3 linked regions of the Coturnix japonica genome follow. The protein of the gene in region 3 purifies or fractionates together with the protein of the main gene of each other region. This does not show direct contact. Links are inferred from orthologs where the notes say so. Each region holds a gene or a part of one and is shown on either strand. Other genes may lie near its edges. The genes, in order: CUL4B, CUL4A and COPS9.

Region 1 (10,992 bases), on a different chromosome or scaffold from region 3:
TTACCCATTACATTAACAGAAGAGCTTCCCATCTAACCAAGCACAGCAGGAACAGTTAATTCTGGGGGGGCTTTGAAACATCACAACAGGAAAAAAGGATTAAGAACAATGTGAATCTTTCCAAATAACATTTAAAGCTTTGCAAATCTTTTCAGGTTACTACTTATTCCATGAAATAATATTCAACACCAAAGTAATTAAGTTCATAACCAGCTGAGAACATACACATACAAATTCAACTCAGCAAGAAGTAATTCATAATTAAAGAAGGATACAACAACAGTATCAACGGCAGCGGGGTAAAGTTTTGCTCCAGGAGACGTCAGGCCAGGACACATTATATTAGCTCCACTTAGTACAAATTTAATGGCTCCTTTATCAACCTGCTGATGTGGTAGAATAAATGGATCTAAGAGGGGAAAGATACAGCATTACAATTAATACATTAAGATAACAATATGAATAATTCATTACCATATCGGGGCAATTAGATGAATAATGTGCTGCATGGGCAAGAAGGTTGAGAAATTATTAGCAGCACTCATGCTGGGCAACATTGTCCTGAAAAAACACAGGTACTGTTTTTCCTGATTAAATCTTTGTTCTGAGAGCTAAAGGCTGGGGATCTCAGAACCAAACAGAGGGCCTATCCTTCCTGCATGTACACACAGCCCTTATAAAAGCAATAAAAAACTAAAACAAGCTTCAGCCAAATAAAACAATCACTGAAGTGCCTGCATCCTAAGGGATGTTAAATGCCTCAAAAGGAAAACAAACAAACAAAAAAACCCATAACCATACATACAACTACTTCCATTACAAATAAACACTTCAGAAGTAACGGGACAAAATAGGCAAAGACAGACAAAATTCATGAAGGTCAGTTCTCACAAGCATTCTCCGGGTTTGTGCAACATCAAGTATTTCAAACATGGTTTTTAAATACAAATCAACGTTTTATGAACAGCCAAAGTCATCCAAAGCAGTAACAGAATGGAGGAGAATAGCAAGAGTAGAGATAAAGTAATGCTAAAGATTATATTTTAAGAAGTAAAAGCTGGAAGCTAGAAGGAAGCACAAGAATTCTGCAACGTAATACCTAAAAATCAAAAGTCGGATTACTTAATATAGAAAATTACATTTATTTTGGAGATAACAAGCCACCTAGATACCTAAAGCAGCAATGTAAATACAGACGGAAATATATAATACATCTTTAAGACCTGTATAATGCACTATATAAATATCAATAGGTTTTTTTAACTCAGTTTTACAGAGGTCTTTTTATTGACACGCTCACCCCTCTGCTCCCAAAACCACCATCCTTAGAGAACTTACATTTGTGAAGTAACCTTAGCGTTGGGTAAAAAATCCCTTCTCTTTGTCTGAAGAACAGCAATTCTCCATTCACAGTGAGGATTTCTATATGTTCATGACTGCAAAATAAAATCAATGTAACCTTAACAACTAATTATCTCTTTCGTAAATTAAAGGCCCCACATTTTCTGATCTACATTGGCAACTGAGGATAATTAAGGCAGTCAATTATCAGGAACATATAAAACTAAAAATACCAGATGCTTTCTTGGCCTCATGCACTATTCCCTCTCCTGTTCTGTAGACAGACAGACAGACAGCTGATCACAAAAGCCAGCAAAAATATCATATCCTCTAATAAAATAAAACAGTTTGATCTTCTGAAGCCATAAAGCTGAATGCTTCCCTTCAACAACAAGCCAGTCCCAAGAGAGTCACCATACAGGTCCAGATGTTTACCAGCAGGCATTCCCATTTTCCTCCAGCACCCTACAAGCATGTTTTCAACAGCATGATAAGCACACACAGGCACTTCTACCTACAAGAATGAATACATCCTTTTAAAGCCCCTAGGCTGTTCTCCTACAGAAAGTCAGCATATACATGAAGCAACCCAAGCACGTTGGAAACAGAGGTTAAACAAAAAGAAACTCACCATCTTACTATTTTGACGGGGTCTTTCTTTGGCATGATTTGGTTTAGCCATGGTTCGATAACAGGAAATTGGTCTATCAGCTGGTTCTTAATACCTTTAATAACTGAAGTCTTCAGCTGGATACAGTTCGATACGTTCTCCTTTTCATCAAATCTGCCGAGCAAAAACATTTCAGAAACACTGAATTAGCTGCCCAAACGACGTAACGTTTACAGATATTAACAACATAATGTGCCCAACTTTGAGATACAAGCTTACAAGAGCCGTGACGCCGGCCCCGGCCCTATTGCTGAGGCGGACGGAGCGCCGGGCCCGGCCGAGCGCACTCACAGGGCCCATAGCGGCCTCCTACAATCAGCCCAACCAACCCCACTCACTTTTTGAACATCCTGGGACGGTGGGAGCCGGGACAGCGAGATCCTGTGCCGGGCGTGGACCGGCGGGCGCGGGGCGGGCTGCCGGGACTCCGCGCTCCCTCACACGAGGTCCCGGCCCTCCCCCTCCAGCGCCAGCCGGAAACGCCGCGCGCTTTACGGCATGTCGCGCCGCTGTATGACAACGGAACTGCTGAGGCTGGGAGGAGTGGTCATTGAGAGCAGATCGGCTGAGAACGACCTGGGGGTCCTGATAGATGAGAAACTTAACGTGAGCCAGCAGTGCGCACTGGCAGCACGGAAAGCAAATGGGATCCTGGGCTCCATCAGGAGAGGGGTGGTCAGCAGGGATAGGGAGGTGATCGTCGCTCTCTACTCGGCTCTTGTGAGGCCCCATCTGGAGTACTGTGTCCAGGTGTGTAGCCCTCAGTACAAGAAATACATGGAGATTTTGGAAAGGGTCCAGAGGAGGGCCACGAAGATGATCAGGGGGCTGGAGCACCTCCCCTATGAGGACAGGCTGAGGGAGTTGGGTTTGTTCAGCCTGGAGAAGAGAAGGTTGCGAGGTGACCTCATTGCAGCCTTTCAGTACCTGAAGGGAACTTACTCCCAGGAGGGGAGTAAACTCTTCGAAAGGGCTGATAATAGCAGGACTAGGGGAAATGGTTTTAAGTTAAAAGAGGGAAGATTTAGGTTGGATGTTAGGGGGAAATTCTTCACTAGGAGAGTGGTTCGGCCCTGGAACAGGCTGCCCAGGGAGGTTGTGGATGCCCCGTCCTTGGAGGTGTTCAAGACCAGGTTGGACGGGGCCCTGGGCAACCTGATCTAGTAAAGGTGTATGTTTGGTGGCCCTGCCAGGCAGGGGGGTTGGAACTACATGATCCTTGAGGTCCCTTCCAACCCGGGACATTCTGTGATTCTGTGAATGGAACGCGCTGTGTCTCTGTGCATGTGCATGGATGGCAAAGCAGGATGCGGCTGTCTCGCAGTACAGCCGAGGAAGGGCCGTGCTCATCCATAGGGCGGTGTGATGCTGTGATGGAACGTGCTGACACCGCGCTCTGCTCCCAAAGGCTTCAGAGTCACCGGCATGAAAGATCAGGCCACCATCCGAGCACCTTTTCTATATCAAATCAACCGCGATACATAGCATCCACACAACGTTCAGCCAAGCTTCCACGCGTGGCACAGTCTATTTAAGCGCTGTGATACAGCCGGTTCAGGACTCAAACACCGAACAAACCCCTCACGAACCACGCACGGCACTGCGCCCGCACCGCGCATGCGCACAACGCCGGCCTCAGCCACAACGGCGCCGCCATAGGCCACGCCCCCTATAGGCCACGCCCCTCATAGGCCCCGCCCTGCGCCGGCGCGCGAGGGTTCCGGCGGGCGGCCGTTATAGCGGCCGGCAACCATGATCACTTCCGGTAGGTCAGAGGGCAGGCAGCCGGCGGCCGTGTTGAGGCGTTGGCTGCGGGGCAGCGCGAGGGAGCGGCGGGACGAGCGGGCGGGAGGGAGGAAGGGCGGAACCCGGCGGGCAGGGCCGCGCCGCTGGGACCGCGGGGCCGAAGCGGGGCCCGTCGGGCGGCCGCGCCCCGGCATGCACAGCGAGCGGATGCGCCGCCATCTTTAGGCTCCCTTCCCCGCCTGGAGTGACAATAACAAGCACCGGGCCCGGCCGCCCCGGCAGCGCCCCGGCAGCGGAGAGGGGCGGGCGGGAGCCCTGCGGAGGAGCGGGCGGCGGGGGCCGCGCTGAGGGCGCTGAGGCCGGGGCGCTGTTGGCCCCGCTCGGCCGAGCAGAGGTGGCGGGGCGGCGGGGAACCGCTGGGGCCGGAGAACGGCGCTGAGAAGAGCCCGAGGGTGGACGGAGGTGGGGGAGGAAGCGCTGCTTTGAGGGCGGGAGACGGAGGAGAGCCGCGAAGAGAAACGGAGTCACAAAGAGAAGGAGATCCGGTGTTTCCTCCGAGGGATAAGAAGGAGAAGGAGGGGGAATACCGAGGGACTGTGTCGATAAGGAGAGAGGAGTTAAAAGACTCCGCTGAGAGACGCCACCGGAGGCTGACGGAAGAGCTCTGTCCTCTTTGTCGCGCTGCCAGGATTTGATGCCCGTCAGCCTGCTCATTTCTGTGTGTTCATGTTTCCCACAGGTTTCTCTTCCCCCAACCCCTCCACTGCAGCTCAGGAGGTCAGGCCCGCCACTGATGGTAGTAGCGGCAGCAGCTCCTCCTGCAAGAAGAGAAAGTTAAATAATAGCAACTCTGAAAGAGAGGAATTCGATTCCATTTCCTCCTGCTCGTCATCTCCTTCCAAAAACAACTCCTCCTCGTCTTCTTTAGTCATCACCGCCTCTTCGTGCTCCTCCTCGGGGGTCGCCTCCTCCAACCATCACCTCCAGAAGAAGCTGCGCTTTGAGGACTCCTTGGATTTTATCGGACTCGATGTGAAGATGGCTGAAGAGTCTTCTTCCTCCTCCTCTCCCGCTGCCTCTTCTCAACAGCAGCACCAACAGCAGCTCAAAAATAAAAGCCTTTTAATTTCTTCAGTGGCCGTAGGGCACCATGCCAACGGCCTGACCAAAGCTGCCTCCTCTACTGTGTCCAGTTTCGCCAACAGTAAACCTGGCTCCGCTAAGAAATTAGTGATCAAGAACTTTAAAGGTAACAGACCATAATTCCTCACAATCTCTGCGGAGCTGCCGCTCAACTCTGTGTTTTGTTTTCAACATGAAAACCTGGTTGGCTTTCAAATAGCTCCAGGTTTTACAGGAAATGCTTTTTTGTGGTAAACATTCTTAGACTTATGTAAAGGGGGGTTATGTTGATGATGCGTCCTTGCCCGATCACGTGCACATCTGAGCCAGACTTCCCTGCTTGGGCTTATTGTTCTGACTGCATTCACTCTGTTGAGGAGAAGGCCCTTTCTAGTATCTTGAAGGAAACATTTTACTGCCTAAGTGTGTAAATCACCTTTGATCAAACTTCTGAGGTTTGAAAGCACTTTTCCAGTAACCCAGACTCAGGGTATACAGTATATTTTAGCCTTGTTTATGGTAAGTCTTTGCAAAGTATCCTTAAAAAAAAAAAAGACTTGAATCTCCATGTCTTGCCCACGTGTATTTTGTCTGTTTGTAGGTTAATCCGCTTGTGCTTAGTTTTAAATGTTGAAACTAAGGTGATTATCCAGCTCTTAAGGCGGATTTCCTTTCTGCTTCTCCTACTTGACTTCAGAGTAGGTAGTTCAGACTTTTGCAGGTTATTTTTCTTGCAGTATCATCACTGCTGTGCTTATTGCTTAATTTTTTAGCATCTTTTCTACTTTAATATGCTCTTCCTTTTTTTTTTTTCTTTTCAAATTTACATTGTTTTGTAGTTTCTCAACCAACATGGTGGAGCTTTTCCAATGTTGTTACTTGAGATCAACTGAAGCAGGGAAATGAAGCTTTCTGATGTGAATTCAGCATGATATTCTAATGAACAAAATTGAACTAGGTGAAGGCAGCGATCCTAGCTAAAATTCTGTAGTTTTTATCCTAAAAAACGTCTGAGAATTGTGAGATTTTCTTGTTAGTCCATTCTTCCCTTTCAAAGTAATTCAAGAACTTACTTTCCTGAGTGGTTTTGTTTTTCTTCTTATGTTTGGGTGGGAGAAGAGAGGGCTTAAAGGTCTGACAGAGATTAAAACGTATTTCTAAAGAGGCGGTTGATACAAATGTGCTGTAGAGATAGCACAGAAGGTGAGGATTAAGGATTACCTGAGCCACTGTAATGTTCCAGTGTGACTTTTTGCTTTAAGGACTACTTAATTCTCAAGAATGTTCCCAGTCTGTTTCCCGTGCTGCCATGTCACCATCTGTTAATTTGGTTGCCTTAAAACCTTGTACTTAGGGTGCATGATGGCAAGAAATAAATGCTGCCACTGCATGTACTTTGTTATTTTTAAGAGAAGGCAACTTTTCACATTGAAAATATTAACTACATGCCAGGGATGACATGGAGCTGCAATCATCATTGCTTATAAATTGCTCTTGGAATCACTTCCTTAAAAAGAATGTCTTGAGAATCTGCATCTCTGGTTTTTATTTATGCTCATATGCCAAGATGACTAATAATCGTAGTGTGCTTTTGTCTGCGATAGCAATACACGTCCTTTACATCTTCCTAAGATTCAGTATGTTGCTATTTACTCCTGTATGTCGTATTCATTGCAGGCTAGTGGAAATGAGCAAGTCCCAGTTGTAGCGAGTTGTCTCTGTACGGTACAGTCAGTGTTGGGATATTGCCATTACTGTAGGGAAATGTTTGGGAGGGGGAAGTAAACAGAAGAAGGATTATTTTTTTTTATCCCCAAGAGAAATGATAAAGCTTTGAGGTGTTTGGTGGGGTTTGTTGTTGTTGCTGTTGGTTTTTACCTTTAAGTTTGCAAAGTCCATTAGAGTGCAGTCAACTTCACTTGTTGGTGACAAGGATATGCATCTGACTTCCCGATTTTTCTCCTTTTCCCATCTCCATTTGGGAAATTCTATGACCCAGCAGAAGGGGTCATTTGAGTGAGCTTGAGAACACATCATTTTAAAGCAGTCTTGGTTTTCTGAGGATGTGACATGGGTGATCTTTTTCATGCTGTGGTAATTGCTTTGGTCTTGTTGTGGGCACTGCGTAGCAGAGCCTCTGGAAAATCTGCAAACACTTGAGCTATACGAGCATTAGAAGAGGCCTTAACTCTACAAATATCCTCTGGCCAAACCCAAGAGAAACATAAATAGATTAGTTAGAAATCCAGAGATTTTTCCTCGTGACCATAAAGCCTGTATTAAACTAAGTATTTCTATGCACATTACTTGGGAGTTTCTTTCCAAATATTAACGCAGAGTTGAAATTATATATTTAATTAGAAATATGCTGTGCACGACTCCGTATCCCTTAATCCATCATTTTCAGCTTTTGTTGCTTTGATTGATTATTTTTTCCCCCTCTATTAGCTGTGCTGTTCTGGTACTAGAAGGGCTTGTAATGAAAATGCAGAACAGTCTTCTTGGGTTTTAGTGCTCCCCTCGCTGAGCTGCATAAACATGTTATTTAGAATGTTTTCTATTAGTATTTTTCAATACAATCACAGTCTCTTAGGGCTGCTGATGTTGTCATGTGTACATGAAGAGCAGTGCTGAATTTTTAGTGTGTTACTATTTCAAATGTAAGAAACTGCTTTTGCCTCATTGCTTTCTTTTCACATGTGAAGTATAACTCAGAACATCAACGTATACATTCTCCTCTCTGAGTTACTTTTGTAAAAGGTAAAATCTTTTGCTCTTACTAAACGCTTCCTCAAACTCTTTAAAATAATTTCTTTTTCAAGATAAACCCAAATTGCCTGAAAACTACACAGATGAAACCTGGCAAAAACTGAAAGAAGCTGTAGAAGCAATCCAGAACAGTACTTCCATTAAGTACAACTTAGAGGAGCTCTATCAGGTAAGTGCTTTAAGTACACTTAAGTACAAGTGTTGAGGTGAGGGATTTTCTCGGTGGTTTAGGGTTTTTTTTTTTGGTGTCTTTTCCTGTTGTTTGATCTTACAGCAATGGTAGGAACGTGACGTTCTGTTGACAAATAAGGCAAGTAGCTGTATTTGGGTTTTCTGGTGTGTGGCTGCTAAAGGAGAAATATGAAAGTCCTAAAATGGTGGTATTTAAGTAAGAAAAGGATTACTGACAGTTCTGATTGAGGCTCATAGGTAATTAATTTGAAAACCACCATTTTTTGTTTGCCTTTCTAAAAGTAAATATAATACTGTCTTGGTTCGGTTTGTCTGTAATTGCTTGTCATTCAGCATTATTTCTAACTGAGAACTAACATCTGTTTGTTTCCTGCAACAGCTCTGACTATTTTGCCCTAAACCTTTCAGGAAGTGATTGGTCTTAAGCTGCATCTCGTAACGTTTTATTTATAAACTTTTCTTTTTGAGTTAATGTGATAGGGAGTCGACTTTTCCTCCTTACTTACTCTGAACTTAAGGTTTTAGTGGCATTACTACTTAAGCTAGGTATAGGGAAGCACTCTCATTATTTTGAAAGGTTTTATTACAGTGTTGGTTGTTCTCTGTTTCTGTATCTGTTGTTCAGTTCATCTGTTTTTGAGTTTGTTCTTCCTCATTCCCTCCCTCCCCTTCTTGCTAAATATTGTTTTAGATTTGCCTGGTTTCTGTGAAAAGCTGGGGGCAGAAATGCAGTTTGCAGAAGGTTTGGGATCAGATCAAGGGGAAAAATAAGTTATTTTCCTTGTGAAACCTGGATCTTCCCAGGCCAAGTTCCTTGGTCTGGTGCATTTTTAAGGTTATGACAATTTTTTATAATGCTCAGTGGTGAAACTAATGGCAAAGTACAGACCACCAGATTAGTTCATATCTAAAATAACATGCTCTAGACTGAACAACAGAGCAAATAAGTGCACTGTATTCATAATGGCTTAAAGATGCAAGGTTGTTAATACAACTTTGTATTGTGCTATGAAGTTGCCACTTAAATTCCTGCTGCTTTTTCTCACAGCCTTCGTTTTTGATGACACTTGTGCTAACAAAAAAGGATAAGATTATTCTTTTAAATCTGTTTTAACATCGTAATGATGTAGATACATTTTAAGAAAATAGAGAAATCATACTTGATTGCACACTCATTTTTATAAATATAAAAGTGTTGTGATTTAAAATGATTGGGAATCACTGTTGTTTTTAGTGCATACTGATGTCATTTCTGAATAACTGTTTGGTAAATGGATCTGATTCCAAATGTGCCTTGGCAGACACTATCCAAGCATAGAGGAAGTTGCAGGAGTCTGCAGAAGTTGTTGCAGCACATATCAAAATAGGATGCCTTTTTTAATGGAGTTGTTTAGTTTCACTCTTGTCTGTGTTGGAAAAACTTGCTGAGCAGACACTGAAGTTTTGTTAGTTTGTGGCTGTTAGTTTTGCACTTACTCTATTCCCCCTCCAAGAGGAGAGAGAACACAGTTGTGAGAGGCTGAAATTCTGTGCGATTGACTGCAGCTTTATGGGAACAATTCTTCTGTTAATACCAGAAAGTAAAGATCTCGATCTTTGGTACCTTATCTATAATTACTTTTTTTCCCCTTAATTAATCACAGTACATCTGGGAAGTTCTGAGGTTCCCTTGTCAGAGCAGTGCTTGTTTTGTCCCTGCTTTCCCTAACACGAACCCTAGTTTGGATGCTTTAATTAAAAGACTAGAATTCATCTTGAACATGGATTCAGATGTTTTGACCATCTGTAAGACACCGATGTCTTCACGAAATGTTTTAATTTGGCAATTCAGAATAAAACCACCTGATGAATTACAGCTTCTAAAGTTATCAGGAATTCCTTAGATAGAATTATGTCTTGTAAGTCTAGCAATAAAATTGGCAGTAGCATTGCAGCAGCGTTGTGCTTCGTGGAGCAGATTTGGTAACGCTTTTATCTGTGCGCTTAGGAAGTTTGTCTTCTTAAAAATCATCATCATAATGCCAGTAAGTTGGGCAGAATTCACAGATTATAAATATTGTTGTGGTTGTTACCAGCAAAGGTGCAGCAGCTTTGTATTTGGTATTCAAGCACATGCCTTCTGTTTAAGATTTTGGGATTTCTGATGCACAAATGGGAAAGCACAGCTTTTATATGAATGATGTATAGAAGCAAGCACATGCTCATATGTGCTAATAGGTGTGTCTTTCTGCCTGCAGTGAAAAAGCCAAGTTTTATAAGGACTTGTGGCAGTGTGGTTAAATAGCACTTGGGTTGATAGGCAGCAGTGAGGAGGATGTTCAGCTGAAGTGGCTGAGCTGAGCTCTCAGCTGCTGGTGAAGTACGGTGAAATAGCTGCAGGGGTCAGAGTGCTGCTTAGAAGTGAGGCTGGCAGGGCTATGCGGGCAGCTAGCAAATCAGGAACATCCATCTTTCTTGCTCTTTGTTGTCTCCTCCAAAATAAGTGAGAGAAGTAGTAGTCTGCTTACTGCACTCGATGGAACTTTATCAGTCTCTTTAAATTTGGTGTTTTCAATCATTGTTTTCTTCTGAAATCAAAGTAGCCATTAAACAGCAGCAGATCTTGGGAATTAATGTTGAGCCTACCCCTATGGGTGGTACAGCACGATAGAGTTGATTGTCCTTCACAACCTACTCTGAAATGTAATCTGGAATGTGTTCTTATTGTATTGTTGTGTTTGTTTGGGATTCCTTCCATGTTAAGAGTTAAATTTATTGCTGTTTACAAATACTAAGATCTGTGTATTTTGACAATTTCTGTCTTTTCTAATAATCCGAACTCAGATGTCACATACCTGGCTCATATTTCTGTACATTGGTGCTTAGAAGATGCTGGCTCAGCTTTAATTGTCACGCTTACTCTTGCTCTACCTGTTTCTTTCTGTCGAGCTTATGCAAGTTTGATTTTCCTGTTGGCAGTGTTGGCTGGTTTTTATTTTGTTCCAGCTTTGCTGTGTCACAGAGCCCATATTTACTGACTGCACTTGTGCTGCCTACATCAAGAAGTGCTGTGTACCCCAGGAGTGATTACCAGTTTAACTGCTTTGATTATTGCTGTGCTTGTAATGGTGGCTGTTAGCAAGTATTTGAGGGGGCTTCAATGTGATGGAATA
Region 2 (10,493 bases), on a different chromosome or scaffold from region 3:
AGTTCTTTTTGTTATCTTAAAGTAGAACAGAGTGGAGATGTGTGTTGGTACTGAGGCAAAGAGTTACATGCTGGCATTAGGCAACGTTCTGCCCAGGGAGGTTGTGGATGCCCCATCCTTGGAGGTGTTCAAGGCCAGGTTGGACGGGGCCCTGGGCAACCTGATCTAGTAAATGTGTATGTTTGGTGGCCCTGCCAGGCAGGGGGGTTGGAACTACATGATCCTTGAGGTCCCTTCCAACCTGGGTCATTCTGTGATTCTGTGAACATAACTTGTCACATCTCAAACAAAATGCACCTATAAAGCTAAACTTTGTGGAAAAACAAGTAAAGACTGAGAAAACACCAACACTTTACCCAAGTTCACTGATGCTGTCAGCAAATTCATCAGCAAAATATGTCACTGTCTGTCCTTTGGAGCAAAGGAAAACATTCTTGTGTCACTTGTAGTTGCCCAGATGAAGCAGTGCTCTAAGTATCACAGAATCACAGAATTGCAGGGGTTGGAAGGGACCTCTAGAGATCATGGTGTCCAACCCCCTTGCCAAAGCAGGCTCCCTACACCACGTCACACAGGTAGGCGTCCAGGTGGGTCTTGAATATCTCCAGAGAAGGAGACTCCACCACCTCCCTGGGCAGCCTGTTCCAGTGCTCATGGTGCAGGATCATCTCACAAGAGAAAGGAAACCAAGGTGAGGTTAAAGGAAGAGAATAGCTGACTTTCTCATCACATCTAACTGCTTTGGATAATTTTCTATGAAGCACTGAATGGCCAGAAGTACTGCTGTAAACTTCACAGTCCTCACCGAATGTTTGGCTGTCTTCATTGTGATTCATTTTAGGTGCTGTGGTCTATTAATAAAATAGTTTATTGAAATACGGGGCACAAGTTAAAATAAAGCGCGCCTGGAACAAAATCTAAATATAGGCAGTGGTATCAAATGAGGCTACGTTTTCTCTTTGGCATTCCCACTGAGTTTTTTGTGAGAGGGAAAAAAATGTTGATTATACAGGGACAAAAATGAGAGCTCACTTAATTGTTTTTAACCTTGTCTGTTAACTGTTTTTGGTTTTAGGCTGTTGAAAACCTCTGTTCCTACAAAGTCTCTGCTACTCTGTATAAACAGCTGCGACAGGTCTGTGAAGATCACGTGAAAGCACAAATCCTTCAGTTCAGGGAATATCCTTTTCCTGTGCGAAGAAATTGTTAGATTTGGGCTTAAATCATGATTTTTAAGTAAGTTTTTAAATGATAGTCATAACGGTGGTGTATGCAAATGTACAAAGAGATTCTTTGTTTACCACTGATGTATTTTCAGATGGACCATGAGCAACTTGAGTCATCCAAGGGAATAATTTTAGTATTTAGAAGCATGGTAGTAATGAACCATTAAAACAAGTATTTGTTTTGTTATGAGTGCGAATTCATAGTAGCACTATGCATCTAAAATCCTCACAGATCTAACAGCAGGTATGGATTCCTGTGGCAAATGTGTGGTGGAGATGCTTCTCCAGTACCAATAGCTGAAGAAAAACTAATTTTTAACAGCAGTGCTGGGAGTCTTCTGTAAGATAGTTCTTAAGCCTCTCTGTATGGCCAGTTTTAAGTACTGGTCAGCAGTGATGTTTAACGGAGGCATTCACCGAGCCCTTTGGATACCTCACGTGTACCTTGGGAGACAGATCAAAGTTCAGAAGATCACTTGGCTGCCTTGTGACCTTCAGAACACTTGCATTTCACAGCAAATATCCCCATTGTTTTCTCAAGTTCTATTTCTATGCTTCTCTTTTTTCCCTCTGAACTGATGACAAAAGTGCTTGCAGATCTCCTCTGGAAGCTTAAGTGCAGCCAGCACTGTTTTCTGAAGCCTGTTGTGCTTTGCATGCCGAGAGCATGCTTTATGTGTCTTGTATGTAAATAGTCTACTGGTTTGCGCTTGCTGGGGAAGTAGGGTAAGTAGAGCCCATGCCCAGCAGGTCGTTCCCAGAGAGTGTCTTGGCAAACAGATGCTGGCGAGTGCTGGAGTGAACAGATGCTGTAGTGATTTGAGTGCTTGCCCTGCTTCCCAGGTCTCTGGTGGATATTCTGTTACAGAAAATGATTGGTTGAAATAGGAAGAAACAAGGGAGCGGGGCCCAGAAAGAGCCCTCTTTGTAAGTGAATGCCTTTAATGTGCTTAGGATTGTGACTCTCAGTTTCTCACTTCACCGCATTCTCCAGGTAGGTGCCTACACTCATAAAGAAGATAAATTGCTTTCTCTGTTCCTTTTTTTTTTCTTCTTCTTTTTTTCCTTTTATATGGCTTAGCTCCAGCACGGTGGTTTTTGTTTGAGTTTTTTTGAGTTCCATTAAAAGGGCCTTGCTTCTACATGTCATACATGAAACACTGATATTGAATTGGCACTGTGAATTCACCTCTTAATTAGGTGGCGTATTTTTTCTATTAGATTCGATTCGATTCATTTTTAAATGACATTCAACTAAAAAGTCCATTAGTTAATACAGTAGTCTTTTAAATGTAACGGAGAACCAAATCTTTTGGTCAGCTTTAAAGCAGTAGACAGTTGGCCAGTTTTGCATCCCTGACTTTTGAGGCTTAAGAAAAACTTAAGCTGTAAGACTTTGTGTTCCTTCCACAAGCCCAATAGAACCAATATTTGGAGAGCTGAGAACTCTGCATTCTACAGGTATACTGCTTTATATCCCAAGGACATGAGATTAGATTAATCAGATTTGACCAAAGGGAGTTGGAGATGGCATTGTGTAAGAAATGAAGGCAAAGCCACTTTTGGGTTTACTCGTGATACAGTAGAATTCTAGTAACAAGTAATGATTGGATCCATTATATAGCGAGTAAAACTTCATGTTTTAATTGAGGAGACCTAGAGATGTATATGGAAAGAGCACTATTTGGATTTATTGAGGATTATTTGGAACTGCAAATGCTTTCAAGAGATTAGGGTCACTCCTGTGGTGCGCAGTGTGAACTCATTAAACAAAGTAAACCTTTCTATCCAGCTCACCTCCATGGGTGATAAGGTTGGTTTTGACACTGATGGGATTTCTTACTTACATCTATATCAGAGCTATGCAGTGTGGTCGGTAGATGGTATTAGTGAAGGGCTGTGTGTGTTGTTCCTTGAAAACATAGGGAGGTTTATTGGAGAGCTGCCAGTTCCTGTGCTGGACAGAAGCTTTGCAATTAACCGTTCATCTCTAGGCAGTCCCAGCAACATCGGAATATCCACGAAGGAGATTTGCTCAATGGCTGGCAAAGATCATCTCTGGAATCTGACCTCAAAAGTTACTGGCGAGCTAGTTTTCCTTAATAGGTGCTGTACAGATTCTCTGGATAGTCTTTTATTTTTAAAGAAGATAAATAAATGCTGGCAAGATCATTGCAGACAAATGGTAAGTTGAGTGTTTGTTCAGAATGTGTATCCTTGAGAAGTACAGCCTGGCAAAAGGGAGCTTTTAACTTGGGTCTGTGATGCGCTTCCTCCAAGTTTCAGTAGGACTTTTCGCTTTCCCCTTTACTGGCTGGGAGCCGTTCTGTTGTCAAAAGTTACATTCTGCTGTGTTATTGGTTTGCTCTTCATTGATTTCCTAGTGGTAACCAGCTAGAATATCACTCAGAAACATATTGACTCTAGTGAAATCATTCAGCAACCAATTCTTCAGTCTTTGCTTATAGATCACTCCAACTAGGTTAATTTGTGGCTTTTATTTTGTATTTTTTTTCAAAACAGAGCTGAATATCCTGACTTACTGGGCTGAGAAACAGGAAGAAAACGACTCATAAGAATTGGCCTTTTAAGATACTACTTCATTATAATTCTAAGTTTTCCTTGCATTGTCACCAAGCTCTGGCTACAGGTGCCCAAAATTGTGGGGCACCCAAATTACTTCCTTTTCCCTCCCCCATGAGGGATGGGCAGGGATGTGTATGTGCATTTTATCTCGAATGAAACGGATAGTGTTGTGGAAAATATTCTGAACAAATTCTGCAGTCTGATGAAATTAAGGTTGAAGGTTATTACCTTGAAAGTTTGATTAAACTGGACCTGTGTTTTTATAAATATATGGTGTTTTCTTTCTGTGAACTCTGTTCTCTTTAATTACTTTTGAGAGTTCCTTTTGTTGGTTTTACTTATTCATGTTTATTCATCAGATCAACAACCCTGTAGGAAGTGGCTTTCTTGTCCAGGTGCTGAGGTAGTACCTGTGGTGTTCAAGAAAACAAAACAAAACCGATCTTGTTGCTATTTTACTTTAACGTGGTTGGCTAGAAATTGTGTGAGCTTGAGAATTGCTTTAGAAGCACTGAAATCCTTTAGAGGAGGATTGAGTAGGCATCTGAGGATAGGCAATTCAGTAGCTGGCCTGGCAGTGAGTTATGTATGGACATCCTGAGGTACTGTAATGCTAAATTAAAAGCTGAGCAGCCTTTTGAATGAAACATTTTTAAGTGAAATATGTGACAGCAGTTTACTGACAGTTGATAACTATGCTTGAGTAAATATGTATCTCAGTAGCACTAAGACTTAAACAGCACTAAGGCCAATAAAACTATTCCATTAATTGCTTATGAATTTGAAAATTGTCTTGAATCTATTCAGTTACAGTGATTAGTCATAGCATTAATGTTAACAAATGACATACCAGTAGAGATGCAGGTCACCAGAAGAGTCAAAAATAGGTGTAGCAGCAATGAAAAATCATGTGTCTGCAATGTAATTTTCCAGAATCTGCCTTATAATTTAAAGTGTTACATGCTGTCAAAGAGAAAAAATGTTTCCTTGATGTGTTTTCAGATCATGATCAGAAGCATTTTCTTATTTTTGGATCGTACATACGTACTTCAGAACTCAATGCTTCCTTCTATATGGTAGGTATCTGCATGTGTGCTCCTTTAGTCTGTACAATTTGTGCTGTATTTATAAAGGTTGAAAATATAATTTTTTTTTTTCCTCACAATATATTTGAGCTGTGTAGTAGGTTGATTAAATTTTTGTGTTAATTTATGGAAAATTAATTCTGTAATATCCACCTTCCCCAGGAGGTAATATGAGGGTAAAATAGGAAGGTCACTGTGGATCAGCTGCCAAGTTTGGGTGAGGCTGCTGCCCCTGGGCCTTCTCTTTCAGTCTAGTGGTTCTTCAGGTGTTCCTGGTTTGGCAAAGTTCAGAGCTTGGCTATTGGCTCTGTTGTTTTAAATGTTAGGTGCACTCACAAGGTGCAGATCATGTTTCCTGCCCTGGCCTTTTGTGAGTTGAGACCCGGGCTCAGAGCTCTGAGGTTAACCCCTGCTTGCTCCTGCAGTTTGAGCACCCCACAGCCACGTCTGTTTCTCAGCGTCCTTCCTGAGAGACATTTTGTATAATCACCAAGACAAACAAATCCATACTTTGCCACAATTTTCTGGTGTCTGTATTCTGTCTAAAGCAAGAAAAGATGTAGATAAAATACTGAAGTAGCAGCGTGCCTCTTCCCTGCGTATATTACTTCTGTGCTCTCCCCTCAGGATGGGGAGGAAGATGGCAGCTTTTTGTGATAGTTCTTCTTATAGAATATATACATGATTAATAAATTCTCTCTGTGTAACGTATAGGTGAGCATAATAGGTGAACAGTTGGACCGGATGATCTTTTAGGTCTTTTCCAACCTTGGTGATTCTATGATTCTATATTTATATATAATACGTATACACACATATTTTCTTTAACATGCAAATTTGAAAAGAACCAACAAAGTGATGTCTTAATTTTCATTATTCACACAGGGACATGGGGCTGGAATTATTTAGGAATCATGTCATTAGTGATAAACAAGTTCAAAACAAGACTATTGATGGAATCCTCCTGCTGATTGAAAGAGAACGAAGTGGTGAAGCAGTGGACCGAAGTTTGCTGCGTAGTTTGTTGAGTATGCTGTCTGATCTGCAGGTGAGTACAGCAAACCTCAGCCATTACCACTAGTTTTAGAAACTGACTTTGGACTATTCTGGCGTGTGTGTTATACAGAAATAATTTTATTCTAGTAAATATGTGCTTCAAAATCTGGCAAACAGATTGAGAAGGCGGTTCCCTTTTCTTTGCCCAATCCACAGTCGTTCATTCTGTTTTTTAAGTGAGATTTCTGTGCTTGTTTTCTTCTTAGTTGCGACATGTCTGTGTTATTTGCTTGTTTCTGCTTTCCATGTTAACTTTTCTGACTTTCGTCCATAACACAAAAGATTTAGAACTGATAATTCTGTTCAAGAGAGAAGAAGGACTTCTTATGATATGAAAAATCATTAGCAGATCTGAAGACGTAGATCTGATTTGTGTGCTCTTTCCCACTTTTTTTTCCTGTTACTTGGCAGTCTTCTCTTAACTGCATCAGTTTTTTGTAGGTATTACCAGTGAGTGCTACTGTTTTGTTTCATTTTTGTTTAGCAAAATACACTGCTAACTAAAGGCATCTCCTCTATTAGATCCTTCTTACAGGTCTGCATTTCAATCTGCAGTCTTCTTCACTCTCTCAGAAGTGTTTTCTTTCTTCACTCTAGAACCTAACAAAGTGTATTCTTTTATATTATCAGGCATGAGTGTGCTTTTGATCCTGCCTCCAGGATCTCTGCTTCTCTCTCCTCTTTCATTGGAGGTTAGCTTGTGGTGAAAGATGAATTAAGAACGCAAATCTTATATTTCATTCAAAAATAATTAAGCTCTTTCTCATTCCTGATTTTTAGGCAATTACAAAATTGGAGACCAACTGCTGAAAGCTTATTCCTGCTTGCATCAATCTTGTTCTATTGCAGTTCCCTGTTGTAAAGCTTTATACGTGGTCTGTGTAGAAATAACTCCTTATTACGTTAGCATAGGTCAGAAAGTTAGTGAAGGAAAGGAAGGTAAGATATAAAGTCTTGGGTTTGATTCAGTTTAAAGAGATGGCTAAAGCAATCAGTTAGTGTCTGCTTATGACATTGAATACTATTACACTCTGAATACCTGTCAAGCCAGAGATTTTGTTTGATGCGCTGAGGAAAAAGCCAAATATTTGAAAGTACTTCCTTATCAGCTTTGTTCCTAAGGCACGTTACTGAGAGTATCATCATTTTACTGTTGGGAATTACCTGTTTTGTTTTCCCAGTTGGAACTGGCCCAGAAATATCAGTGGGGGTTTTGAGCTCACGTGGATTAGATGTCATTGCTGTGCTGTTGTGTTGAGTGCTGGTGTTTGTGTGAATTAAACAGAAACCTGTCAGTTTAGACACGCTGGGAAGTCAACTTTAATTGTAGTCTTTCTAAAACCAGTGGGGAAAAAATCAGATTTCTGCATTTATATAATTTTAAACATTTATTTTGCCTTCCTGAGATTTTACTTGCCTCCAAGTAAACCAGGGTACGCTACTTTTAATGGCAGCTTAATGTAAGTAATTAAATTGATTTCTTGAACAGGTTTACAAAGAATCATTTGAACAGAGGTTTCTGGAAGAGACAAATTGCTTATATGCTGCAGAGGGCCAAAGATTAATGCAAGAAAGAGAGGTAGGTGCATGCTGTAGTTAACTGGTTTTATTTTAGTTCCATCTGCTATGGGATTATGTGGGAACTTCTGGTAGCACCACAGAGTGAATACTAAAAGAAATTTACAAGGGTAAATGATGATTATGCTTTGGGGACTGTGGTATTGTATCAAAGAGAAGAACCAATTCCAGTTTGCCATGATGTTGGGTATATGTATAGATATCTAGTATTTGTATATTGCATATAGAAACACAAATGAAGGGTAGGGAAGTCAAGTGACATTTTTTGTTGCTAAAGTCATGCTGCCAGAATGCTCATCTCCATGTAAAGCTTAAAAGCGTGCCATGAATATGGTATTTTTCTGAAAAGCTGTGAAATATCCACTGCCACTGGTCTACTCTGTATTTAATAGCTAAATTAACTGTTTACTTGTTTTAAGAACTTTTGTTGCATTTATTTTGCTGTTTTGTTCCAGTTACTTACTAGTTAAGTAGACCTTGAGACATCTTTGTTTTCTGTGCTTTTGAGATGAAATTATGCTTTGTGGTGGGCAGCCTGAAAATGTGTTTCTTCATGAAAATGTACACGGACAATATTTCCTGGTTGTCTAAAATAGAGCATGCTACCTTTATTAATTCAGTATGTACACTGACTCTTCACTAGTTGAGAATTGGTAGGTGCAATTACAATGCTTTTATTATGAGGTAATATCAATCATTAAAAACATAGCTTGTGTAGCATATTACATTGTTGTGTAATATTTATTTCCAATCCATGCTCTCATTAAGTTAGAGTTTTAAAATACTTGTCATGAACAAGGTGATCATTCATGCTACTGTACACAACTGTTGAATTTGTCCTTCTCTTCTCTTGCAAGGTCCCAGAATATCTTCACCACGTTAGTAAACGTTTGGAAGAAGAAGGAGACAGAGTGATAACATACTTAGATCACAGCACACAGTGAGTACAAATTTCATTGTTCTTAGCACAAGTCAAGCATCCTTCATAAAACGGTGTGACTATCCATGGCTGTAGAGACACAGAGATCATCTCTGTACATACTATTTGGTGTTTTTATTGTTTCTTTAAAGACTTTATTAATATCAGAGCCAATTTATTTTAAATCCAAGTATTTCTTCCCTAAGTAAAAGGGGAGAAATCTATCTAGAAATCTTCCACCATGAGTTGAAGTTAACAAAATATAACTCAAACGTTCACTAGGGGGAAGAAATGTTAAATTATGACGTGGTGTAGAGAACATGGATACAAACATTCCATTTTAGTTTACAGTGGATCACCTTTGGTACAGCTGCTGCCAATGGGTTGTGCAAGGCAGCTTGTTCTTTTTGGCACTGAGGTACTGAGTAAGAGCATGCATTTTACTGGGGTAAGAATGCACAGTCACTGATGGGCTATAAATGTATATATAATTTATAAATAATGCAGTGGTTGCTTTTGAATAAAGAACGTAACTAGATGGAACTCATTTAGAGCTCTTTGCCCTCACACCTTTTTATTTCCCCTAGGTGAAGTGTTGTCATTTCATTGGGTGTTAAAGAGATCATTGAATAATTTCTCTCTTTTTGTCATATATATTTGAAGAAAACAATAAGTTAAGCTCATGCCTTATATATCATGGTGCATATTTGAGCTTGAGTTTTCTTGCAAAGTGCCTACCTTCTTCATGCAAAATTAGTCAGGTGAAAACATGGAATTATTTCTGTATGTAAATACGATACTATGTCTGTCTGTCTGCTTCTTAGTACTGTTCTGCTTTAGGTAGACCAGTTGTCCTTACTTTTTCTGTTGTAAGAAGTTGTTCTGGGGTAAAGGATGATATTTTATGTAACCTTGAGTCCTATTCTTGAGGACAATCAGCAATTGTAGGTAGCAATAGCTGGAAGTTTCAACAAAAGTAGCTGTAAAAATGGCTTGATGTATGAAGACCAAGGGCCTGCCCAACTAGTCTTTCACGTTCACTTAGGAGCACTTTAGGAAAAGAACAGAGTAAGTACTTGTGACACTGTACTAGTACCTGCCTGCTTTTGGCTCAGTATATTTTCTGAACCTGATGCCGTTTGCCTGTATTGTATTATCCATTGGATCTCTTTGAAATACTTGTGCCATCTCACTTGGATTCATGTAAGCTTTTCCATCTATGGCATCTTTGGCAAGGAGACTTCTTTGCCCCCAGCCCAGCAGCACATCAACTACCCCATAATAGATCACTTCCTTTTGTTTATTTCAAGTCTGGGTCCCAGTGCCGTCACCGATATCCCCAGCTCCTCAGCTCTTACATTGGAAGGGAGAGTGATCAGCCTGTTGCTGTTCACCTATTTTCGTGCCCATCAGTGTAATACTATATGTGTTACTGCCAGGTCATCTCTTTCCCAGAGTCCAAACCCAAATGTGTGCAGTTGTTTTTCTTGCAGCTGCTGTTACATAATTTGATCATCCCTATTCTCTTTTTTGAACCATTGCAAATTTGAATCCTTTCTTTTGATGTGAAGGGACTAAAACTATATTGTATTTAATTATTTGCATTCATATGTGGTATTTTGGCAAAGGCAGGGATGTAAGAAGGACTATTGGTATTTAAGTTTCTGCTTGTTATAGCTTGTTTTATGGTATTTTAAATTGAATTTCTTTTGTAATCCATGGTTCATTGTTTTCTTTCTTATAACACATACGACTATTTTCTTAACGTGTAGGCTCTAATTTAAGTAGAAAATTGTTGATATTTTTAATATGATAATGTGAATTGCTCACAGATGCACTGAGGCAGGAGGTAACTCCCTTATGCCATAGTACTTCTAACATACTTTTCTTGCCTTATTTAGGAAACCACTGATTGCTTGTGTGGAGAAACAACTACTTGGAGAACACTTAACAGCTATTTTGCAAAAAGGTATGTATATATATTTTAATTAATGTATTATTTGATAATCTACAGATTCTTGTGGTCTGTGATAACTATAGGAT
Region 3 (9,678 bases):
TGCTGGGCAGCCAATCATGCCATGGCCACTCTGCGCTTCTGGCACAAAGTTAACAGAAAAGGGCAAACACAGATCCCAATCCAAATTCTGATCCCCAGGTCTACAAGGTGCCAGAGGTGACACAGGTGAAAAGGGTGACACGGGTGCAGAAGGACCAAGAGGATTTCCAGGACACATGGGGATGAAGGGGCAGAAGGGTGAAAGCGCCTACGTGTACCGCTCTGCCTTCAGCGTGGGGCTGACAGAGCGAGCCCCCCACCCCAACGTCCCCATCCGCTTCACCAAGATCTTCTACAACGAGCAGAACCACTATGACGCCAGCACCGGCAAGTTCATCTGCATCATCCCTGGCACGTACTTCTTCGCCTACCACCTGACGGTCTACATGACGGATGTCAAGGTCAGCCTTTTCAAGAAGGACAAGGCAGTGATTTTCACCTATGACCAGTTCCAGAAGAACAATGTTGACCAAGCGAGTGGCTCTGTCTTGCTGCACCTTAGCTCGGGGGATGAGGTCTGGCTCCAGGTGTATGGGGAGGGCGACAACAACGGGGTCTATGCTGACAACATCAATGATTCCACTTTCATGGGCTTCCTCCTGTACCCAGACATGGATGACCATTAGAGCAGGGGGCTACATGGGAGGGGACAAGGCTGCTTAACCCCACCTGCCTTCTGGGGCACCAGCACTACAGCTGTATTCTATTTACCAGAAAATTCCCCTCACCACATGGGGGCCACCACTGACCAGGATGGGCCCCACCTCCCCTGAAATCACTGACCTGACACACAGGTGACTCCCGTAGGACCAAGAGTTCACTCCTACCTCTGCTCTTGCTCTCCTGATGGAAACCAGGGCCCCAAATCAAAAACCACTCCAGCCACATGATGAAACGGTCGCTCTCCAGATGGGCTGGCATTTGTTTTAAATTTAAAGTTGATTTTTATATATGTTACATTTAAATATCACATTCTACCTTACCCCTTTTTTGTCACTTGAATCCAGTTGACACAGTGGTACCTCTATCAGCCAGCATTACCTCCCTGAGTCCAACTGGAGCTGCTGGCTGGGCTTTGGCCATCGTCACTTCCCACCTTACCAGGGCCTCTGATCTCCACCCATGGTTTGTCCTCTCCCTTCTTTAGCCCAGACCTTCCTATGTATACAACACACAGCAGAGCTAAGGCATTACTACAAGCACAAGACAGTATTAAAGGCTTTGACTGAAAATACTTCCTACAGCAGCATTTCCTGAACCCCAGTGGATTATCACACTGCACAGAATATCACAATAAAGTGCTCTCTCAATAAAGAGCTCTCCTGCCTCTTTGTCTGCATTGCTGGGAAGGATTTAGAGAAAGGCAGCCCAGGAAGGAACACACACACAGTCTGAGCATGCGGAGCTCAAACAGGTGGGAAAGAACACCAGTATTGCTGCCAGCAGCTGTCACCCCCTGTGCTCCCCAGATATTATGCTCTCACAGAATGATGGCCCTTAGGGCAAACACTGCAGTCAGTTCCCATGAGATAACAGCCAATATGATGGATATACCGAGGCCAAAATGCTGTTTGTGACTTTGCAATTAGGGCAGATTATAAAGAAAGCACTCAGATCCCTTGATCTTGATGGCTATGTTTGACTCCTCCCTATACTACTGCTCAGTGAAAGGCAAGATGCTCTCATCCTGACCATGCAGCACTGAAAGCTTAAAGTCAGCACACTAACAGTAAAATAGCATGAATGCAGCTGGAGACATTGGCCAGCTTCATCCCCATCTGTGAAAGCATCCGTGCCCCTTTTAGGGACAATTATAGGCTGATTCTAATTGCACCTCAGCCCCATGTAATCATTTGTGACAGTAATTAATTGGGATACAAAGAGCAGCCGCACTAAGCCACGACAGGCTGAAAGAAAGATAAATGGCTTCCCAGGAAGCCCTGTTATCATATTTATTTGACAAGTATAAACTTGCTAGAGGCTTTTTGGCATGGAAGGCACGGGGATAAAGCCGACATGTAGCTAATCTGTCATTGCACTTCATGCAGGAAATGCCATCAGGTTCAGTTTTTCCTTTAGACAAACCCAATCCTGAGCACACCCATACTAGGAGTAAGACTGCTGTGTGTTTTTTGACTTGTTTGTGCTACATGTAGGTGCAAGATGAAAGCACTCTGCGCATCAAGTGTTGGGATGGCAAAGCAGCAAACCCCTCCCACCACTTGGTATCCTTAGACTCACCCCCAGACACTTGTTCTGCTTAACACCATTGCCCTTTGAGGAGAGCTGTGTGAGCTCCCTCCCGGCAGGTTCACTGTCAGCCCTGCACTACTTGCAGGGTGTTTATTCCCACTGAAATAGAAACATGAAACACAAAGCACCAACATCTGTTTCCCCTCGAGGGGCAAAGCAGACAATTTCAACTCACAGAAATCTGTGGAGTCTACCCATAAAGCTGTAGGAGAGCAAGGGGTAAAGCAGGAGAGCCCACCCCAGGCTCCCCACCACAACCCTGAAGGAATCAGGACAGGAAGGATGATGGGGGTTGAACAAATATACTTTTTCACACACCAGTTACCATCTGGTGGTATGATGGCAGGAACCTCTTCACAATATCTTCACAGAAGCTTCTTCAGCCGGGTCAAGGGAACCAACAGCAGTGCCAGCAGCTCCTCTGTGTACCGCAGATTTCTTGAACATACCTAAGGATGTGCCTGCTAGAAACTCCAATACAATCCCTTGTTGAGAAGTATTCTCACACCCAGTGTGCACGTGATTCTCAGCTGCATGTTTATCCATAGCAATATACAGACTCATGTCTTTCCCCTCAAGAGGGGTTATGTGAGTTCAAGCAATAAGACTACAAAGGGTTTATATGTACATGCCACAAGTGCACATAAGACAGCATGAATACAGCTCAACTTACAGCTGACTACAAGCAAACTGAATTTTGGCCCCAAAAGGGACCCAAAGAAATTACAGTTACTGATGAGAATTCCTACACTTTAAGACTCCCTTAGAAAAACAAAGTTATAGGCACAGACTCTCCTTCCAGTCTCATTGAACAAGAGATAACTTCATACTCCAGATGACTAACAATATATGTACCCTGGTAATCAGCCCATTAATCTTAAAGACTTTTATTATTATTAACATTTAACAAGGCAAACGGGGGAGGAAGAAAAAGCAGAACAGTATTCCAAGGCAACTATCTGGAAGAATATGGGCATCAGCAGATGTATGCAGTCAAACCAGCACCAAAGGGAACAGCTGGATCTTCAAGCCTTTTCTGTTTTGGCACTCACTCAGAACGCAGTGTCTGTTTACTGGAAACGACTCACTTCCCAAAGCCTTGCTTAGAAAAAGTGCAGCACCAGAGACAGGAAGAATCCAAACAATGTTGCTAACACTAAGCAGTCAGTGTTTATATTGCTTTCAATGAGGAAAGCTTGAAATCCCTCCCTCATCAAGCAAAGCAAGAGGTAAAAAATAAACAGGAGGCTGCATCAACAGCCCTGAGGGTCACTTTGCAGTGTCAAACACTAAGCAGAGTAAACACCAATACGCTGCTTTAAATTGCTCTGGAGGACAAAATAGAAGAGGCTGAGAAATCCACAAGAACAAAACAAGAAGACATAGTTCTACTTACTCATTGTGCTCCCACGGTTGTTTCAGGGCCAGCAAATGAACAGCTAAGATTAAAAATATTTATCTCCTCTTTCTTAAGATAAAAAATACCAAGGGAAAAACATATGAAAGAGGTAAGGAAAAGAAAGGGTTTCATTTGGGGTTTTTCCATACAGTTTAGCACAAATATTTCATCTGGAGCATTGATAATTGTAAGTTTCTTTAAAGAAAGATCAGTCACAGGATTATTTTGTGATGAATGTATAGAATTTAGGCCTCACTTTAATCCTAAACAATTAATTTAAGAATAGAATAAAGGATTGAACTCTTGACTCTGAAATAACACATTAAAAACTCCCTGGTCCTTTCATCCTGAGAATCACTTTGATCACTAGAAGGTGCAATATCATACAATTACCTCTCTAAAAATCAAAACCTGAGTAAAAAACAATACTAAAATAGCTCTTTAGGTTAAAGCAAAGCACTGATGGCAGCTGGACATCAAACCTGATACTGAACAAAACCCACAGGTCTTCCTAGTGCAATGAGTCAATGCCTATTCAGGAAATAGTAATCACCCTATGAGCAGATAATCCCATGCTCTATGATGAACAGAACACCTCAAGGCAGAGATATGTCCTGCCCTGTATCAGTATATAATAACCAAAAGTAACAGTGGATGATTTCATACAAACAACAATAAAAAAGAAACAACACAGCACACAGATTTCATTGGGGTTGTAGGTTTTTTGCTGTTGGTTTTGAATAGCACATCAAGTACAATTTTAAGACAGATCTACAAACACCTTCCTAACAATAACAGCCCACAGTTCAATGTTACTTTTCACCATCTGAATTCCACATTCCCCAAGCAGCTTAAACAGCCTTTTTTTTCACACCCCCTATGAGATTTTCCTGTTCTAATCATTGCAATAAATAAAGGACAGCACGGGCGATCCCAGAGAGAAAACTCCACATCTCAGCACAGCGGGACAACTCAGTTCACTGGATGTCATCGTCATCAAACAGATCTTCAAAATCTAGTCAGGAAAAAACAAGACAGGGTGAAAATCAACACTGGAAATCACAGCTGCAAACACCACACGAGCTTTCATTGCTCTTGGTATTGAGATTAACGACAGAAGCCAGGTCTCACAGCATGTATTGCACAGCAATGCAATGTAACTTGTAATGAATACTAACAATAATCAACCAAAAGACGCTACAATAATCAACCAAACGACGCTGTTCATCCCACCCGCCCTGAGGAGCCCTCACCATTGAAGAAGTCGGCGTGCACGGCCTTCTCGTTGGCAGCCAGATCCATCAGCAGCCCCGTGCTTCCCCCTGCCTGGAACAGCAGACGCTGAGCGCCTCGGGGCAGCACCCAGAGCCGCTTCTACCCACCCGGCCCCTCCGCTCCCACCTCATCCAGGTCCACGTACGGACCGGCGCCCTCAGGGAACATCTCATCCACTGCTGGCTTCATGGCGGCCGCAGCGCTCTATGGCCTACTTCCGGCCGCGCCATCTTGCGGAAGTAGCCTCGCCGCTCTATGCGCCTCCTCTCTATGGTCGCCCTGGAGGAGGTCCGTGCTGAGCTCTGCTCTATGTAACGCTGTTAATACATGATTATCGTTAAGCTTGCCCTGCAGTTTGTGTAGGTAACAGAACGGGCTGTCTCTCTGAGCCAAGTTCTGCTGAGTCTTTTTGTATCGAGGAAATAGGGGGTCCTGCTGGGAATCACAGAATGACCCGGGTTGGAAGGGACCTCAAGGATCATGTAGTTCCAACCCCCTGCCTGGCAGGGCCACCAAACATACACATTTACTAGATCAGGTTGCCCAGGGCCCCGTCCAACCTGGTCTTGAACACCTCCAAGGACGGGGCATCCACAACCTCCCTGGGCAGCCTGTTCCAGGGCCTGACCACTCTCCTAGTAGAATCACTGAATATCTGACTTAACCTCTGGGAAACTTCTGTGTACGTAGCACATGTAATATACACTGCAGATGCTTTGTGTAAGCAGTGCACATAGGAGGATAACCCCATGGGTGTTAGTTACCTGATCAGCCCATTTAGGGTAACGCTATGACTGCATGTACAGCAGAGCTTGCTGTCCTGAGACATGCCCAGCAGCACGATAATACAACAGGAACCCAAACCTCACCATATGATCAAGGAGTTTATTGATTTGGCACAAAGCACGGCTTGCAAAAAGCAGAGGCTAATTCACCTGCGGGTTTCTAATGCATATAACACTACACAGGCCCATTCACATGGCTGCAAGCAACTGGAAGGGCTGCTCACCAGCAGCCATGTGTTGGTGTGATGTCCCAGCATGGTGGTGGGCACTGCTCAGTCCTCCTGTGCAGGCAGGTGGAGGCCGAGATGGCTGCCCGCGGGCAGCTGTGCAAACAAGGCCCTGGCCAGCTCAGCAATCCTGTTGTAGGCTCCCAGTGTCCTGAAGTACTCCACGTAGGACCAGAAGTCACTGGAGGAGAAGGGCCAGTATGGCATGGCCACAGGTTCTCGATCTAAAATAAAACAAGAAAGGGAATTATTACAACATGAAGTTTTTCTGTTGAAAGCTTGGCTCGATGTCATTTGGGGTTCCCCTCTGCCAAACATGGGCACAGCCACTGAACCCTCCGTGCCCTTCGCAGGGGCACCAGATGGGACAAGACTGAAGGGACACCAACAGCATTGCAGGAATTGCTGAGGTGGCTTTAATTTCCAGAAGGCAGCGGGCTGTTTGAAAGCAAGGAGGAATGGCAACTTGAAGCCATTTTCCCCATTGCTCTTTCTCTCCATCTTCTGTGCCAAATATAAAAGTCAAAGATGAGAAGAACCAAAATAAACTCTGAAAATGCCAAGAGCTGACCTGCCTCGGGCCCAAATCCAGGCCTGCACAGGATCCTGTCAAACATAAACACTTGCTGCAACCACACAGTTACAAGCATCTTTCTGTGCATCAAAGTTAAACCCAGTATTTTGATTTTAAGCCCATTTAAATAAAAGGGAGTTGTTCCTTTCATCAGACTCAGCTTCAGACCAGGGTGTTTAGTGGGAATGAAGAGCCTTAATCAATCTTAGCGTCAGACCTTCATGTTGTGAATTTTGCACTGCACAGGCACAGATGGTATATAAGAAACCAAACAAGCCAACCAAATGCTGTCTGCAGAAGAGAACTGTTAGTATCAGCTGAACTTAGATTCACTTTGCAGTCTGTTGCATGGCCAGTGTGAAAGAAAACCCTAATTGCTTACAAAGAGAAGAGGACATTGCTGAAGAACATCTTGTTTTCAGACAGCCATGCTCTCACCTAAGAGGTTGCCAAAGAAATACTCGCTGTGCACAAATAAAACAGTGTGTTCAACCCAAAAACTTGTGGAAGCAGAGATTATGCATTCAAAAAGGTTAGAGAGCCATAAGGAAAGATACGGAGCATGAGAAGAATGAGGATGCTGCTGGTTAGATGTGCACCAACAACAGCAGTGACCTTGTTGTGCGATTTACTTCTATGCAACTTTGTTTTCAGAAAGAATTTGTCTGAACACACCAAACCAAGGTTAACCTACATATTCTTATCTGTAGGCCACTGCAAATATCATTAGGATTGTGAGGAGGCTTTTTGCTAATCAAAGACAAACACTAATCCAATAGGCTAATCACCCGAAGGGACACAGCAGCAGAGCAGCTGTGCCAAGGGATTTATTCCACTATTTCTTTCACCAGATTTGTGGCAATCTGAAAATGTTTTACTTTTTGCCATGGAGGACAGTATTTCTTACCAATACCTGGACAGACATCCCTCACTGCTTACCAGAACAGCCACAATTCTCTGAAGTCTCTCCTATGCTTATAAGTCTGGTGCTCTCCAGTTATGTTTTCATAAAACAGATAAGTAATGACTTGGCCATAACCCCTTGGAGGACTTGTCTTCAAGGGGTCATCATACTTGTTAATGTTTGTATAGAAGCTCCATTATTGGAATTAACAGATCTGCTTTCCGCATTAAAGAAATAGAGAAAAAAAATAAATAAAAAAAATCACTCTTCTTTCAGGGAGTTACAAGTGACTCTTTGAATCATTAATGATACATAAGAAAGAAAAAAATACTTGCATTACCATCTCCTTCCAGGATTGATCGGGCATCTGAAAATGAACAGGAAAATCATCAGCACCAACTCTCTCACAGAAGAACTTTCAATTCCCAAAAGGTTTGGTGCACAGACCAATGCTGACAACTCCTTTAAGGTATGTTTAGAGCCCCCCTTATAGCCTAAAGTTTCTGTTTCTCCAACAGCTGAGTAAGGAATTGCCCATTTATAGTCAGAATACTACAAATCAAACATGCCAGGAAGGAGTTGCAATTAATACACAGACAGTATCGGAGACTAAATAAAAGATGCTATTTTAGTGTGAAAAGATTTTTGTATTGAAAAATCAACCTGAATAAATCTAAGCAGTCTTACCTGTTCTTATGTTCATCAGCATACAGAAGAAAAGGAAGCCGATGCTTTTCATCTTCTCTGTAAGCAACTGTTTGTGTTTCTGACAAACAATCTGTACAGCTGGAGATCATTAAAAGAGATGAGGAACGATGCAAAATACAGCATTTCATCTTTTATTAGAAAAAGCTGTTCCCAAATAAGGTCATTACTTTAGTCATAACGAGATCCAATTCTATTGCATTACATTTGCTGAACTGCATCACAGAGTATTAACAAAGAAAACCTACCAAAGTTTTAACTGGTATTTACTTTTAGGTGGCATAAACCCAAGAGGCTACTCTAAACTGACACAAAATGAAGTGTTTGCAGAAATCTTTTATACTTTGGTTGTTTTAAGTTCCCTCTAGAAATTACCTCTCTTCCCCTCCCCTTTTCTCCTTCTTTCAATAGCAAAGGTCTGTAGCTCTGAGTCAGCCCAAAAATCCAAAAGGATTTTGCGTGCTGTAAAATAGCAGCACGGTGTAAGGAAGGGTGGGGGGAAAGGAGAGAAACGTCACCGAGTTCATACACCAATCTGATCCCGTCCTCTTCACGTAGAGTCATTTTAATTGCTCACACTGTGCACACACACACGCACAAAGATCTCCGAATCAACTTCAGCAATGAGACTTTGATATGTTGAAAACAGATGAAGAAAATCCAGGACCAAGCTGAGATTTATTACTGCTTTTCCTGACCATCTTAACATTTTTTCCCCTCTCTTCAGAAAAGTAACTGTTTAGAAGCGTTATCTGTGCAAATTGTGAAGAGGTTACTGGATTCCTTCCTCACAAAAACACAAAACGCCGCAGCCTTACAACCCAGAACTTAAAATGCACAGCTGTACCAAGTGCCCACTGCAGCCAATTAGTCTGCATGAAACAAAAAAGCAGACCCCTGCTGACTCCCCCCCAACATTAGCTGGAAGCTTTCAGCTGCCTTTAGTCTGAGTCTACAAAAATCACTTCTCCGTCATGATTCTAGAGACCACTTATTGTTGCATTTCCCCACTGAATCTGTTGCATTTCCTCACTGCATCTGTGGCACCTGACTGTTGGTGCTTTTGCTATACCACAGCCACTTGTCTGCCGTACAAAGATCATGCAAGGAAAGCCTGCCTGCTCACTCAAAGGCCCAGAATGGAAAGACCCAAGTGAATGGCCTTGCAGGAGGACCCAGCTTTGCTGGAGTTTCTTCCTATCTACATGCAGAGTTGGATAGTCCTGCCAAGAATTAATTAGAGATGTTCCAAGCAAGGGAAAATAAAGAGTTCTTTGTAGCACACTAAGCTGCGCCAACTCATGTGGAGGCTGAAAAGAAAAATATTATGAAAGCAAAACCTATTCTGTCTTCAAAAAGCTTTAATCCTCCTCTTTAATGTTCCTTATGCCTGCAGGATGGGTACCTGCATCACCCATGTACAGCCAGCAGCTCTGCCCCACTCACCTGGGTTATAGAAGCTGCTGGTGTGAGAAAGTATGAGAAAGTATGTCCCTTGCTTGGTGAAGCCCATTGATGCAGCCATGTGTTCAGGTCCATGGACCAAACCTGCACAAC

Evidence for each region.
Region 1: the proteins of COPS9 (region 3) and CUL4B purify together in Homo sapiens (affinity purification with mass spectrometry; 3 studies listed by BioGRID and IntAct, with this or other methods). This does not show direct contact. The link is inferred for Coturnix japonica from reciprocal best matches to the Homo sapiens genes COPS9 and CUL4B.
Region 2: the proteins of COPS9 (region 3) and CUL4A purify together in Homo sapiens (affinity purification with mass spectrometry; 3 studies listed by BioGRID and IntAct, with this or other methods). This does not show direct contact. The link is inferred for Coturnix japonica from reciprocal best matches to the Homo sapiens genes COPS9 and CUL4A.

The regions. Positions count from the first base shown.
Region 1 is NC_029519.1:15,289,624-15,300,615, forward strand, and holds the start of CUL4B (cullin-4B), read left to right. Parts: upstream 1-3,697; 5' UTR 3,698-3,763; coding exon 3,764-3,776; intron 3,777-4,496; coding exon 4,497-5,006; intron 5,007-7,701; coding exon 7,702-7,817; intron 7,818-10,992. Other genes in the region: MCTS1 (malignant T-cell-amplified sequence 1), read right to left, coding at 276-409, 1,339-1,436, 1,973-2,125, 2,350-2,360.
Region 2 is NC_029516.1:123,889,346-123,899,838, reverse strand, and holds part of CUL4A (cullin-4A), read left to right. Parts: intron 1-1,075; coding exon 1,076-1,179; intron 1,180-3,341; coding exon 3,342-3,411; intron 3,412-4,814; coding exon 4,815-4,888; intron 4,889-5,782; coding exon 5,783-5,945; intron 5,946-7,442; coding exon 7,443-7,532; intron 7,533-8,388; coding exon 8,389-8,471; intron 8,472-10,351; coding exon 10,352-10,419; intron 10,420-10,493. UniProt on the Homo sapiens protein: Core component of multiple cullin-RING-based E3 ubiquitin-protein ligase complexes which mediate the ubiquitination of target proteins. As a scaffold protein may contribute to catalysis through positioning of the substrate and the ubiquitin-conjugating enzyme.
Region 3 is NC_029524.1:4,031,908-4,041,585, reverse strand, and holds COPS9 (COP9 signalosome complex subunit 9), read right to left. Parts: upstream 5,186-9,678; 5' UTR 5,116-5,185; coding exon 5,053-5,115; intron 4,978-5,052; coding exon 4,905-4,977; intron 4,667-4,904; coding exon 4,629-4,666; 3' UTR 4,354-4,628; downstream 1-4,353. Other genes in the region: ADIPOQ (adiponectin), read left to right, coding at 99-625; OTOS (otospiralin), read right to left, coding at 5,984-6,162, 7,757-7,783, 8,104-8,155.